Linked DNA regions of Bombyx mori. Each later gene encodes a partner of the first gene's protein in a complex. Links are inferred from orthologs where the notes say so. Each region holds a gene or a part of one and is shown in the gene's direction. Other genes may lie near its edges.

Region 1 (7,028 bases):
ATATTATGTTATAATTTGGCATTAATTTAGTAAAAGCACTAACCTATATGGTTGCCGTTCAAAGAACTTGTCTTTTGATGGCACAAAATGATATCTTGGTTTTATATGTATTGCAAGCCATGATAGTAAATCTGAAAGTCGATCTTGCTCAACATCTACCTGAAACAAATTCAATAATATAGTATACTTATACATTTGTTGTGTTTTAAATAGGATCATTCTATGTGTTATTATCAGTTCGTATTAATAATTTTATTATTAATTATTAGTTAATAATAAAATTATTTAATTCTAATAAATTTTAATTTTAATTAAATATAATTAATTAATATTAATGATTAATATTTTATATTACTAATTTTATTATATTATATTACTAATTAGTAATTATTAGGACCTCATGATAAAACTGAATATAAATTAAGCTGATCACCCGAGACAAATTTACTGTTTGTTCGTTTCAAATAGGTTTAAATTTATTTTTCAATACACTATTATTATGGCTTGCAGATGGTTCAGACATGCTCACACCCCATCTGATAGTGAATAATCTTGGTGCCTGAATTGCTTCTTATAGGACATTAAATATTTTCCACATCATTAAAACAGCTTGTTTGTTTGGTTATACTATGAAAGCTGTTACTATAATATATAATATAAAATTGTAATATAAAATATGAAATTAAGCTGCACAACTTTTAATATCTGATCTAACTTTAATCAAACAAAAAATAGGTTTTGTTGAGTTCAATGTGCAATAAATAAATCACCGTCTGACATTCATCCTGTTGTATACCCGATGGCCATAATGTTGTTATCAATACATCTACTCCTCTAAATTCACTCTGTCCTCTGAAACATGCATCTCTGACAGCACTACAGTCACTGGGCTCATAAGTACACATAGGAACGTCTTTACCAAGCTCTCGCCTTGATAAACCTGTCAAGTATGCGATTTTCACATCGGTACTTGTGTTGAAAAGACCTCTTCGGCCTGAAACAATAACATATTATTATTTTCAAATTCTTTTTTTTCCCTATAATTAGCATTCCATTTATTTGTTTATTGTAATTAATAAAAATAATAATGTAACTCTATGCATATTTTCAAATGTTTCAAAACTGTTCTTACCCATATAAATAACATTAGGTACTATTTCAGATCCTTCTTCACAGTAATGATGTACATGGTCTGGATTTGATGGACCAAAAACATAGGTTGTCACTGGAACTGTAATTTGAGATTGTTGATAAAAAAATATATAGTCAGAAAAAAATGTATTCATAACCCACCCAAATTAATATTGACCAATTCCAATGCCTCAATAATGTTGATGCTTCATCCTCACGTGGTAGTATAAGCGACAGTATAATTATTATCAATATGAAACATGTAGAGGTTCCAATGACTATCTCATACCGGGTCGACCGTAAACTAATGAGCCCATCTCTATCGTATTAAAAATTTTAAGTCAACGTTTTTACCTTTCCTCGTTCCCATTTTATATGCATCCAGTTGTGAATTATCATCTCCAAAGAATGTTCCAACACATAAAAGCAAATCAAACTGTCCAGATTTCTTCACAATCGATTCTACGCGCGTAAACAAAGCATTGAAATTCCCATTTACATCTCCACATATTAATCTGAAAAGCAGTATGTATTAATTCATTTCAGTTGTTTGCATTGCTTTCAAACTAAGACGAAAACCAATCAGTAATTACGTTTTCTGTTTATCCATTTTTATACACAAGTGAAAGGCATTTAAATTGGTAATTTGATTGATACAAACTTTTAGATTTTAGATAAAACACTGTCAATTTTATAGAATTTAAGGCTTGGTAACGAGTCGTTTGAGCCAATAAAACACAATAATTATGATAATGACAGACTACGAAGAGATTACAAATAATATTGAACGGCTTTTAATCTGTAAACGTTTTCACTTGTGTAATAACGGTATGTGGGAAAATGAAACAAAGACGCTGGACTTAACTTCTCGGGCTCCTCCAAAAAGTACACTGAAAAATCTTAGTAAATGACCACCGTTTTACTGAGATTAGATTTCATCTCATATCATCTCATTTAATTTCATCCTAGTTGATTAATGTCTCAAATTAATCATTTTCATTTCATTTCACTCCATAATATCATTTTTCATAAAATCAAGAATATAGATTAAAATAAGACATGACTTAAAAGTCACAGTTACCAGGTCATAAAATCTCTTAAAAAAAAAAGTAATAACGGTGGTTTATTAGCTGTTTAATATCTGTGAAATTGCACAAATGTGGGAAAATGAAACAAAGCCGCTGGACGTAAATTCTCGGGATCTCCAAAAAGTCCACTTAAAAAGCCTTAGTAGATAACCACCATTTTACTGAGATTATATTTCATCCCATATCATCTCATCTCATTGTATTTCATACCATGTTATTAATTAACCAACTTCATTTTATTTCACTTCAAATTTTCATTTTTCATATATAAGAATATATATGAGTAGGCGTATGGTATGACATATTTGCCTTTCCAGTTAAAAAAATAAAACTACTGCTCGATGTCAAACGTCAATATATGCTTAATGTCAGTTGCTTGTCAATAATTTCTAAGCAGGAAACTAATTTATGTTATTTTCTGTTGTTGTTAACTTTATTTAAGATTTATTTGTGTTGATTTATTAAATGAACTGAAAAACTGAATTAAATTAAGATCGATGGCGTCGTCAAGTAAACTACCAGGCACTGGTCTAGAAGAAGTGGGAGTACCAGGACAAACTTTCTTGCGAGATGCTCTGACAAGCTGTACCGACCCATTGAAAGCTATTGAAGAGTTTCAACTTGAAAACGGTATTTTATTGCCTTCTTTAAGGCCGATGCTGCCTTTACTAGACCTCCATGGCGTTCGGCGGCTTGACTTTCATACATCAGTTCTGGAGGAATTACGTGAAAAACTCATTGCCCACATCAACGAGCTTGGCAATAAAGATAACAAGGATAATGACAAAAAACTCAAAGAACTGCTATCTAAAAGCTTCCCAGTCGTCAGAGTTAAAGCTTTAAGACCTGTTATAATGGGTATTCTTAAAAATATCCCACATATAGATGATAAGTATCTAAGGGTACTAGTTCGCGACAGAGAACTGTACAATGACACAGATACTGAGGTGAAGCGTCAAATATGGCAAGACAACCAGTCACTGTTTGGAGATGAAGTTTCTCCACTCCTCAGTCAGTACATCAGGGAGAAAGAAGATGTTCTGTTTGATCATGAAAATCTTACAAATCTATTTTTTTCCCCTTCCCCAAAAGTAAGGAGACAAGGTGCAGTTGTTCAGAAACTTGCCCACATGATAGGTACTAGTGTTAAGTTATATGACATGGTGTTACAATTCCTGAGAACATTATTCTTAAGAACTAGAAATGTTCATTATTGTACATTAAGAGCAGAGCTTCTCATGGCCTTGCATGACCTAGAAGTTCAAGACATCATATCTGTAGACCCTTGTCATAAATTCACATGGTGTTTGGATGCTTGTATCAGGGAAAGGAATGTAGACATTAAAAGATCTAGGGAACTGCAAGGTTTTTTAGACAGTATTAAAAAGGGACAGGAGCAAGTTCTAGGAGATCTTTCTATGACGTTATGCGACCCTTATGCTATCAATTTCTTAGCAACGTCAGCTATCAAAATTTTACAACATTTAATAAACACTGAAGGGCTACCTCGAGATAGTACAGTTTTAATACTACTGCTAAGAATGTTGGCATTAGGGTTGAGCGCTTGGGTAATGATCGATTCTCAAGAATTCAAAGAGCCAAAATTAGATAGTCAATGTGTCACAAAATACTTGCCTGCCTTGATGTCATTGATGGTGGATGATCAAGTGAGAGCACTACATAATAAGTTACCTCCAGATGAAAGAGAGTCTGCCATCACTACGATAGAGCACTCGGGACCTCCACCTGATGCTTGTGAAGCCTATATGAGAGAAAGCTCAGTTTGTGGTGTTATTGCAATGTACTACACACTGCATGCAGCCAAATTACGTGACCGTGGTGCCTTACTTCGCATTCTTAGTATTCTCGGTAGTTGTAAAGATGGTAGAGCATATGAAGACCCATTTTTGCATGCTTTAGTGGCACTTCTAGTACAGTTACCTGATGAGTTCCAAGGAGAAGATTTTAGTACTGTATTATTTGATGAATTCTTCTTTGCTGGACTATCTAAGGATAATGTGACAAGACACTTATTGAAATTGCTGTGGTATATTCATCCAAAATTACCAGAGACTAGAATTCAAACTCTTATGAAAGCGCTGCAGCCTGGAACTCAGCATAATGAATCTGTACATAAATTATATGAGACTTTACAACAGAAATTAAATGCGCAAACAGAACCCGGTCCGAGTGCAACTGAAATGGAATATCTGGACTCCCCGTTAATGAGTGTACGCACGCCAGCACCATATCATATGTAGCAAATATTCATTGTTCATTATTTACTTTTAAGTTATAGACATTATATAAATTATATAAATATTAAAACAATTTAAAACATGTTTTCTTGCAAAACATTCCAAACAAAATTATTGTCTTTTCTTAGATTTATAAGTCAGCAGTCAGTTGATTGTCTGTGGTTCTGGCATTGCTTTCGTCCATGAGCGATGGTTACAAAGGGGGTCCATTAGAATGTCTGCATAAAAGGGCAATAATTTTGTTTTTAAGGTTGACCAAAGGGAGACCAAAATTTCCCTGACAGAAGCATTTAAACCAACACCAAACCGTGCGTTCGTCTCCAGTGTTCACTCTATACACGTCATTAATGTTGTGAGGCGTTTCTGCGGCATTGATGCCGCGACGAAACTCGTTTTCCATAATTACTATTTACGTGTCCCGGCAATATTATAAAACGGCAATTTCATAGGCAAAGATCTATTACTCGTACAATTAATATAAATATGATAGTGCTGGTAATTATGTAGGTAACTAATATAATAGGGGTTAAAGTATGAAATTGCTGTTGTATTGTAATAGGTACTTCGAATTGACATAGAACCTTCATGGTTTGAGATTTTTGAGTGAAACGTTTTTCAAATGGTACCTATGATGTTCTTCTTTTCAAAATTTTCATTCATGAGTATTGTTGGTAAGGTAACGTTAAACTAAGCCGCTAATTCCTGGGTACTTTAGCTCGGATCAGCTTCTACCATCTCTTTTACTTCATTTTTATTCACATGTGTGGGCGGTCTTCCACGTGGTTCGTTCTTGAAATAAAAATTTCCATCACGAAAGCGTTTAGACCGAAATCGCACGGTGCGTTCAGTAGCAGCCCCCTCTCCAAACGCAACATTGATATTGCGAACTGTTTCTGCAATGCTATGGTCGGTATACACTACAACGATTTATCGTAGCGATGTGACTGCACAGTTTATCGTACGTCCGTTGAGTGTCCACAGTCCACACGTCAACGATATCTGCATCGATCGTCAGTTCTCTGCAGAAGCTCAGACTGTAAACATGTCGTCCGCGATAGAAAATGATGACGCGCTTGCGATAGCCTGGCTTATTTCGTGCAAAAATCACGTAGTGTGTGGTGTAAGGAGTGGCTTCTTAAAAGAAAGTCATACTCTCACATAAATTTATTAAATAAGTTGAAATTTTGAATTTAGTCTAAAAAACAGACCAATTTTGACGCGACTTACACTGATAGGTAGCTGATGATATAAAGAGTAGCTTAGGCTACTTTTTAGACTAGCGCGGCGGCTCACTCCGCGGCACTTCCCGCGATTATTGTAGTACCGCGGATAACACCACGGGGTCCAGCTAGTCAATAATAATCATTTTCATCCTCCATATTTGATATAGACCGCCTTGGTATTTCTTCATCATGTGAAAAATTCATCAAGTCGAAATAGGTACCACAAACGAGGAACATAGACTTAATCTCCGGCTCCGGATTTTAAAAACTTTGGCTTTGTCGAGTTATTTCTTGTAAGAAGTCCGGAGGCTATTTAATTTCTTTACTACCGTATCCGTATTGGCATTAGGATCAATAGGTTTGTACTTAATAATTAGTCTATCATTTTTCTTGTTGTCGTCATGATAATCTTTTCTTTTCTTATTTCACAAGCAAATTTCATTTTTATAGCTCTGGATATACAGGAAAAAAAATCAGACATCAGCACGGCATTATGTATATTTATGTCGATGTGCTGAGCACGCTAGCACGCTACGAACAGCCCATCTCATCCTGCACACACCTCACCCCTGCCCTGAGTGGCAGGGAGCTTCAGCCCGAGCAGTGGGGTTCGCCCCGGTTCTTCTTGCTCTTGCTCTTGACGCGTCCGCTTACAACAAGATTTGTGAACGAACTGAGCGATTGGACCAACTTCCGTCCACACGTTACGATAACTGCACAAACGAACTGTGCAGTTAAATCGCTACGATAAATCGTTGTAGTGTGTACAAGCTATTAGTCAGAACTCTTTTTCAAAAATCACTCGAATTTTCGAAGTATCCATCTTTCTTGTCTAAGCTGAATAAAAAAACACCTGAAAGTCGATAATCGAATGTAGCACATTTTTTAAAAAAAGAACCTCAGAACCTTAGAACCCATTTAAAAAAGTTTCACTCATAAATCTCAAACCATGAAGGTTCTATGTCAATTCGAAGTACCTATCTATTACAATAAAACGGCAATTTCATACTTTAACTCTATTATTAAGGAGCAGGTAAGGTGTGAATGAAATCAAACAATGATTTACTGCAAAACATTTATTAGTAGCAGCTTAATTAAACATGATGAAAAATTTTAAAATAAAAATTCGTAAGCATTCTTGTTAACTTCTGTTAATAGCCATTTCACGGAATCTGAGCATGTTTATGGCAGTTGCGTTAATTTATTAGAATTGCTTTTCGTTAATTCTTTTTACAGTAAATTAAATTTAATAAATCAATATTGTATTTTATGAAAATCTGCACCGAAACGAAAAGTTGATTGTATCTTATTAAATTATAATGATTTTA
Region 2 (7,210 bases), on another chromosome or scaffold:
CGGACCATAAGCCATTAGTTTACGCGTTCTCGCAACGTCGCGAAAGGCTTCCTCCGGTACAGTTAAATCAACTGTCTTTTATTTCGCAGTTTACCACGGACATTGTCCATATAAAAGGGGAAGACAATACGGTGGCGGACGCCATGTCCCGCATCGAAGCTGTTAGTTTTGAAACTGACCATTCTGCTCTCTCCGCTTGCCAAAAACTTGACGACGAATTGAAAAAGTATCGTAACGATGCGAATTCTTCTCTAAAACTAGAGAACGTCGTAGTTCCTGGCACAAACACTGTTTTGGTCTGCGACATGTCAACAGGGCGACCACGCCCATTTGTATCGGAACCTATGCGAAAGAAGATTTTTGCTCAGCTACATAATCTTAGCCATCCTGGTACTAGATCAACTATTCGATTGATCTCAGACCGTTTCGTGTGGCCTGGCATTGCCAAAGATTGCCGTTATTGGTGCCAAACCTGCGTTGCTTGCCAGCGAAGTAAGGTGACGCGGCATATAAAATCTCCACTTGGACACTTCTCCAGTCCTACGTCTCGACTGAAGCATGTCCATATTGACATCATAGGCCCTCTTCCATCTTGTTCTGACTTCCAATACTGCCTGACTGCTGTGGATCGCTACACTCGATGGCCCGAAGTTTGGCCTATGCACGGAATAACAGCAGAAGAAGTGGCGAGCACCTTTGTAGCCGGTTGGATTGCTCGATTCGGAGTACCTGCTGTCATCACTACCGACCAGGGACGACAGTTCGAGTCGGACCTTTTCAGACGCCTTACTAATTTATGTGGTACTAAACGTATACGCACTACTAGTTACCACCCTTGTGCCAATGGGCTCGTGGAGCGCATGCATAGACAATTAAAGGCCTCTCTGATGTGTTATGATGATTCGTGGTTGAATGCATTACCTTTGGTCTTATTAGGAATGCGTTCGGCTTTTAAAGAAGATCTAAAAGCAACAGTAGCGGAATTGCTTTACGGAGAAACATTAACGCTTCCAGGGGAACTGTTAGTACTTCCCAGTCCTTCTGGTTTCGAGGACCCGACGGATTTTGTCGTAAAGTTAAGACAGCGTATGTCTAAATTGCGTCCCACTCCATGTTCCTCACACACTAAACCATCACCTTTCATATTTAAAAATCTTTCCACCGCCTCTCATGTCATGCTCAGGGAGGATTCGGTTAGACGTTCAATGCAACCACCTTACTCTGGTCCTCATAGAGTTATATCTAGAGCCGAGGACGGAAAAACGTGGCCGATTGATGTAAAAGGGAAACAGGTGACGGTCAGTGTCGACAGAATTAAGCCAGCTTTCGTCGAGCATTCTTTAGTAGATCTCGTTCCAGCACCAGCACCGCGGGTTTCTGTGCCTCAACCAGCGCAACCGGATGCTACTAATGTCCCTTCATGTCCACTCGTGCCTTTGGCACCTCTAACTGCTACTCCTACACATACACCTCAATATACCACCCGGTCAGGTCGCAGAGTCCACTTCTCCAAACCTTTCGACCTATGATAATTTTTCTCTTTTTCTGCGGATTCTCCTTCTCCGTAGGGGGGTGGTGTGGCGTTTTATTATGCGTAAGCCGGAACGCACGAGATGTGGGAAAAAGGATATAGTCTGTGAGGCAATACCTTTTTACCGCCAAATATGAAAAACATAAAAATAATTTATAATGAGTTAAATAACTAATTTAATGTAATTACTTTATGCCGCTACAACAATAAAATTTATATTGTTCCAATTGTGGTGTTAATTACATAAAACACGACCAGGCGAAATAAAGAAGGGACTCTATATGCACTCCCTCAACCAGTTTATTAGCTTTTTAGACAATTCCCGTAGCAAACAAAATCTTCAAGAACTAATCAAAGACTATACGGATCATATCCTGGATCTAATTGATATGTGCACGTTTCTCCGCACTAAAATGAATTTAAATAGAAATCTCAAAAATAGGTGTACAAGATTAGTTAAGAAACTAGAACTTATCAAACTGTTAGAAGCCAGTAGCAAGCCATAGTCTCTTTTATTTCATATTTTCTTAAAAATAAGGTAAGTGATTTATTTGACATAATGAAAATTTTACAGTGGAATGTTAACGGTTTTCATAGACGATTGGAGAATATACAACGTATATTAAATTATATTGACCCTCTTTGTATTTGTATCCAAGAAACTAATTTAAAAAATAACTACTGTGCTAAGTTGAAGAATTACTTATATTCATTTTTTCAAAAATCGATCAAATAGCAGTATAGCTAGTGGCGGAGTAGCTACTTATGTAAAATCACACACACTACCCAAAGAGGTCGATATTATAAGCCCACTAGAAGTGATAGCAATAAGAATAGAATATCCTTTGGCTATTACAATATGTAACGTCTATTTGCCCAATAGCTGCCCCTTAAGTGAAAATGACCTGAATAATCAAAAAAATCAGCTTCCAACACCTTTTGTATTATTGGGTGACTTTAATAGCCATCATTTTTATTGGGGTTCAGATCACTGTGATCTGAGGGGTAAAATTATATCTGGCTGGTTAGATGTAGACGAAAATATGATTCTTCTCAATACTAATCTGCCCACACACATTATTAATAGCAATGGTCACACTAGCAGTATCGATTTAGCCTTCGCTTCGCGAAGTATATCAACTTCCTTTGACTGGTATGCATTAGACGATCTATACGACAGTGATCACTACCCTATTAAGATTACATTAAAGATAGATTTAAGCCCTGTCAACCAAAACGCCCCGCAACACTTTAAATATCAAATGGCAAACTGGTCTAACTGATATAGGAATTAAAATTAACCAACTAAATAAAGTTACACCCGAATCCCTAACCAAAATTAATGAACTAGTTGATGAATTTAATCAAATACTTCTCGATTCAGCGGAAAAACATATACCTAAAACAACAGGGAAAATTAAAAAGAAACAAGTGCCATGGCGGAATGACGAGTGTGATAAATCACTTAAAGAATCTAAAAGAGCATATAGACTATACAAAAAAGAAAAAAGAAAAGCCGAATATTACCAAAATAGTCCAAATTGTTTGGAAGATCCTCAAAATCTTCAAGATTCACTTAAGATAGATTACAAAAGAAAAAGAGCCAATGCTAGAAGAATATTTAAAGAAAGCAGAAAGAAAAGTTGGGAAAATTTTATCACTTCCATTAATAGTTACACTCCGCCAGGGATTGTATGGCAAAAAATAAACGCTATTAATGGACAAAAAAGGCAAAAAACAAACAATAGTCTTAAAATACAATGATAGACAGTTAAGTGGTGATCCAAAAAATAACTCTGAATTATTAGCGTCTGCTTTTGCTGCAAACTCTAGCTCGAATAATTACAGCCAAGAATTTCTACTTTTTAAAAAACAAATAGAGGAGAGTAATAATGTATTCGATTTTTTTGATAATATTAACTCAATCAATCAGAATATTACAATTCATGAAGTGTTTTTCCATTTACACCAATTAAAACACTCTAGCCCAGGACCAGACAACTTATCTAACACCTTAATCAAAAACCTTCCACTCGTGGCCCTAGAACGACTCCTTGACATTTACAACTTCATTTAGCTCAATCAAGTATTTCCTGATAAGTGGCGAGAAGCCATTGTTATACCGATTCCGAAACCGGGGAAATTACCAACCTTAACTTCCAGTTACAGACCCATATCGCTCACTTGCAATTTGTGTAAATTACTCGAAAAAATCGTAAGTAATAGATTGAGATGGTATTTAGAACAGAATCAACTAATATCAGCAGTTCAATTTGGTTTTAGACAATATAAGTCAACATTAGATCATCTTGCGTATTTGGAAAACGAAATATTAACATCCTTTGCAATTAAAAATAAGGTTGTGGCGGTTTCCCTGGATTTGGAAAAGGCTTATGAAATGGTGTGGAAACACAGAGTCTTGTTACTCCTGGAACAGATGAGTATTAAAGGTAACACCCTAGCCTTCGTTAGAATTTTTTTAGAAAACAGGAGGATTAGGGTTAAGATAATGCTAATCTAAAAATATTAGGTTTAATTTTTGATCAAAAACTGAACTGGGTCGACCACATAAAAAAACTAAAGTCAGATTGTTATAATAGACTCAACGTTATCAAAATTCTGTCAGGAAGTAGTTGGGGCTCAGATAGCACATGCATTTAAGAATACATACAAAGCATTGATAAGGCAAAAAAATTACTATGGCTCTGTTATTTATGAGGCTGCATCTTCCAATATTTTAAAAACCCTAGAAAGTATACCACAACACTAGTTTAAGATTAAGTCTAGGAGCCTTCAGAACAAGCCCAATAAATAGCATTTTAGTTGAGGCAGAGGAAATGCCACTAGCTTTTAGGAGAAAAGAGTTATGCCTATCATATGCTACTAACCATATAACAAACAACAAAGATTCATTTATACTAAAGGACCCTGTACCATCGGATATAGAATTTAGGCTACAACCAACCCTTTCATCTCCTTTGAGGATAAGCATTAAAAAATACCTCGCAGAAATAAATTTTGATTTTCCCCTGGTTTTTCCACGTAAACACCACTATTATCCCCCGTGGTACCAATCAAATTTCACAATAAATATGGAAATAGCTCAAAATAATCCCCGAAACACCACATCAGATTATATGTACAAGGATCTTTTCTACGAAATTAAAAATAACCACTCGGACTTCAAGATGTACTACACGGACGGCTCAGTCTGTGAAGGTAGATCTGGTTGCGCTATTGTATTAGAAAATTATATTTGGAAGAATAGACTCCAAGACTATACCTCTATATTCACATGCGAAGCAGTTGCTATACTGGAATGCTTAAACATTACCTATTAAGACAAACACAAATCACAAAAAATATATAGTTTTCACTGATTCAATGTCTACCCTCATGGCCCTTTCAAATACTCACAACAAAAATCCCCATATTATACTGATCAAGGAAATTCTAACCGGGGTTATAGCTAAAAATTACATAATAAAGCTAATCTGGATTCCTAGTCATCAAGGCATATCTGGAAATGAAAGAGCTGACACAGAAGCTAAGAGAGCCACAAAGCTAGCCCAATGTAATTACTTTATTTCTAATATACAGGATCTTAAAAAACACATTAAATGGAAGACTCAAACACTCTGGAACAGCTATTGGGTAAAAGATAATAAAAGTGCTTTATATGATATATAAGAAAATCAATTTTTTAAAGAAGGAAATTTCAGATTAATTATATTAATATTAGAAAAGATCAATTAGTTTTAAATAGGTCACTGTAACATTACCCACATCCATCTTATTACAAAAGAAGAAATAAAAAATGTAGTCGATGTGATAGCAATATATATATCTATTAAGCATTTACTAATTGAGTGCCCAATGTTTAATGCAGAGAGACATACTACTGCCTTGCCTATGTGTTTGTTTGACTGTGTGTTTAAATAATAATGTAAAATGTACTTTAAAATTCCTGAAAATTATAGATTACCATAGATAAATTTAATTATAAGGTTACAGTGGTCGTTAATGACCATTGCTGTTAAAAAGCGACCTTAAATAAACAAATAAATAAAAAAAAAAACATAAAATTCTGTAAAAAAAATTAAAAAAAAATTACCTAGTGTCTGCGATGTTCTTTTTTTGTATTAAAATACGTGTGATTCAGAACTTTTGAACGTTAATGTATCTCATATTGCTGTATAAGTTACGTTGCCTTTGCCTGTTCAGTGGAACAAACAAACAAAAGAATCTGTAAACAAGTGATAAAACAAAATTTAGAATTATAACCGTGAATTAATAAACCGTGAATAAATAAAAATTATATTAATTTAGGTACATACAAATTATAATTATTAGTATCTTTATACTTTTATAAATTGCCTTTTCTGACAGAAAATTAAACTTTTATGTAAACAAATTTAAAAATGGTCTATTTACATTTTCCTTCGAACCTAACCGAGGAAGAACTAATGCTACAAGCTAAATACCAGAAACTAAAAAAGAAGAAGAAAGCTTTGCAAGCCCTTAAGGCACCAAAACCCGAACCAGAAAAGCCAATTTTACCAAAAAGGCCTACAGAAGCCAGAGATGCCAGGGAAATAGCTAGAAAATTGCTGAAAAGTGGTGCTATTCAAGCTATTAAAAGTCCTCCAACTCAGCCACAGAACACCACTTTCAAAAAACCACGTGCAGGTAGATTGTTATCTCAGAACACTTTAATTTGATATTTTTTTTATAAATGTTTGATAAACGATAATAATGTAGTGTAAACTCAAATTCTTGGTTTTAGGTCGAGAAAGGAAATTAAGTGGTTCTGCTGGAGTACCTGGAGGTGTTGCTTCATATCAACCATTCAGTGCTTCACAAGAACCTCCACCTCAAGAAGAGAAACAAACTCCAAGAGTTAAATATCTTTATGACTCTTTTGTCACTGCCAGAGAAAAGTAAGGCAAAATAATCAATAACTTTTCAATTCAATATCAATTTTGATATTCATATTAGGTTGGCAAAAAAAGATTTTAAAAGTTATAAGTCAAAACTTCTACCACAATCTCTTTGGCAATACTTTTAAAAAATAGTTTACCGTCTTTTTATCTAGCGTGTTTATGTCTGACAAAATCATTGAATGTATTAGTGTGTTTATGTCTGACAAAATCATTGAATGTATTGTTCAGAAAAAATTGTGTTTGTTTGTATGTATGTATTCTAATTTAAAAAATTAATGTTAAAAAATTAAATACATTTGAATTTTTCAGTATAAAAGCAGATAATATATACAGATATAACACAAACTATGAAAAAAGTTTATGACTTTTGTGAACTTAACACAGTGTTAGTAAAAGTAGCACAAATTCAGTTTAAGCATTTTCAGTGTGTGCTTTTTTATGTCGAATGAAAACACTGGCTCAGGTTATTATAGATTTACTCAATGCAATAAAAAAAAAGATATAAGATCAGAATACTACTATTTATGAAATAGTTGAAGAGCTACGAGTTGACCACAAAATAGTTTTTGCCCATTTGAAAAATACAAAATAGTAAATACAAAAAAGTCTGCAAATACAACAAAGCTTGACATTTGGTCAGTATATGAGCTCACTGAGACAAAACCAAATCAAGCATGTACACATTTGATAGTACACAATTTGGTAGAAATTTCCATTTATTTAAAAAAGATTGACC

What was found.
Region 2: negative elongation factor B (region 1) and negative elongation factor E share a complex: the UniProt entries of both Drosophila melanogaster proteins name them as parts of the NELF complex. The link is inferred for Bombyx mori from reciprocal best matches to the Drosophila melanogaster genes NELF-B and Nelf-E.

What each region holds. Positions count from the first base shown.
Region 1 is NC_085125.1:6,337,920-6,344,947, reverse strand, and holds negative elongation factor B, read left to right. Parts: upstream 1-2,561; 5' UTR 2,562-2,716; coding exon 2,717-4,480; 3' UTR 4,481-4,557; downstream 4,558-7,028. Other genes in the region: CWF19-like protein 1, read right to left, coding at 44-159, 771-994, 1,133-1,231, 1,486-1,646, 1,725-1,741. UniProt on the Drosophila melanogaster protein: Essential component of the NELF complex, a complex that negatively regulates the elongation of transcription by RNA polymerase II.
Region 2 is NC_085110.1:10,970,271-10,977,480, reverse strand, and holds the start of negative elongation factor E, read left to right. Parts: upstream 1-3,433; 5' UTR 3,434-5,952; coding exon 5,953-6,220; intron 6,221-6,317; coding exon 6,318-6,471; intron 6,472-7,210. UniProt on the Drosophila melanogaster protein: Essential component of the NELF complex, a complex that negatively regulates the elongation of transcription by RNA polymerase II by RNA polymerase II. The NELF complex, which acts via an association with the DSIF complex, causes transcriptional pausing.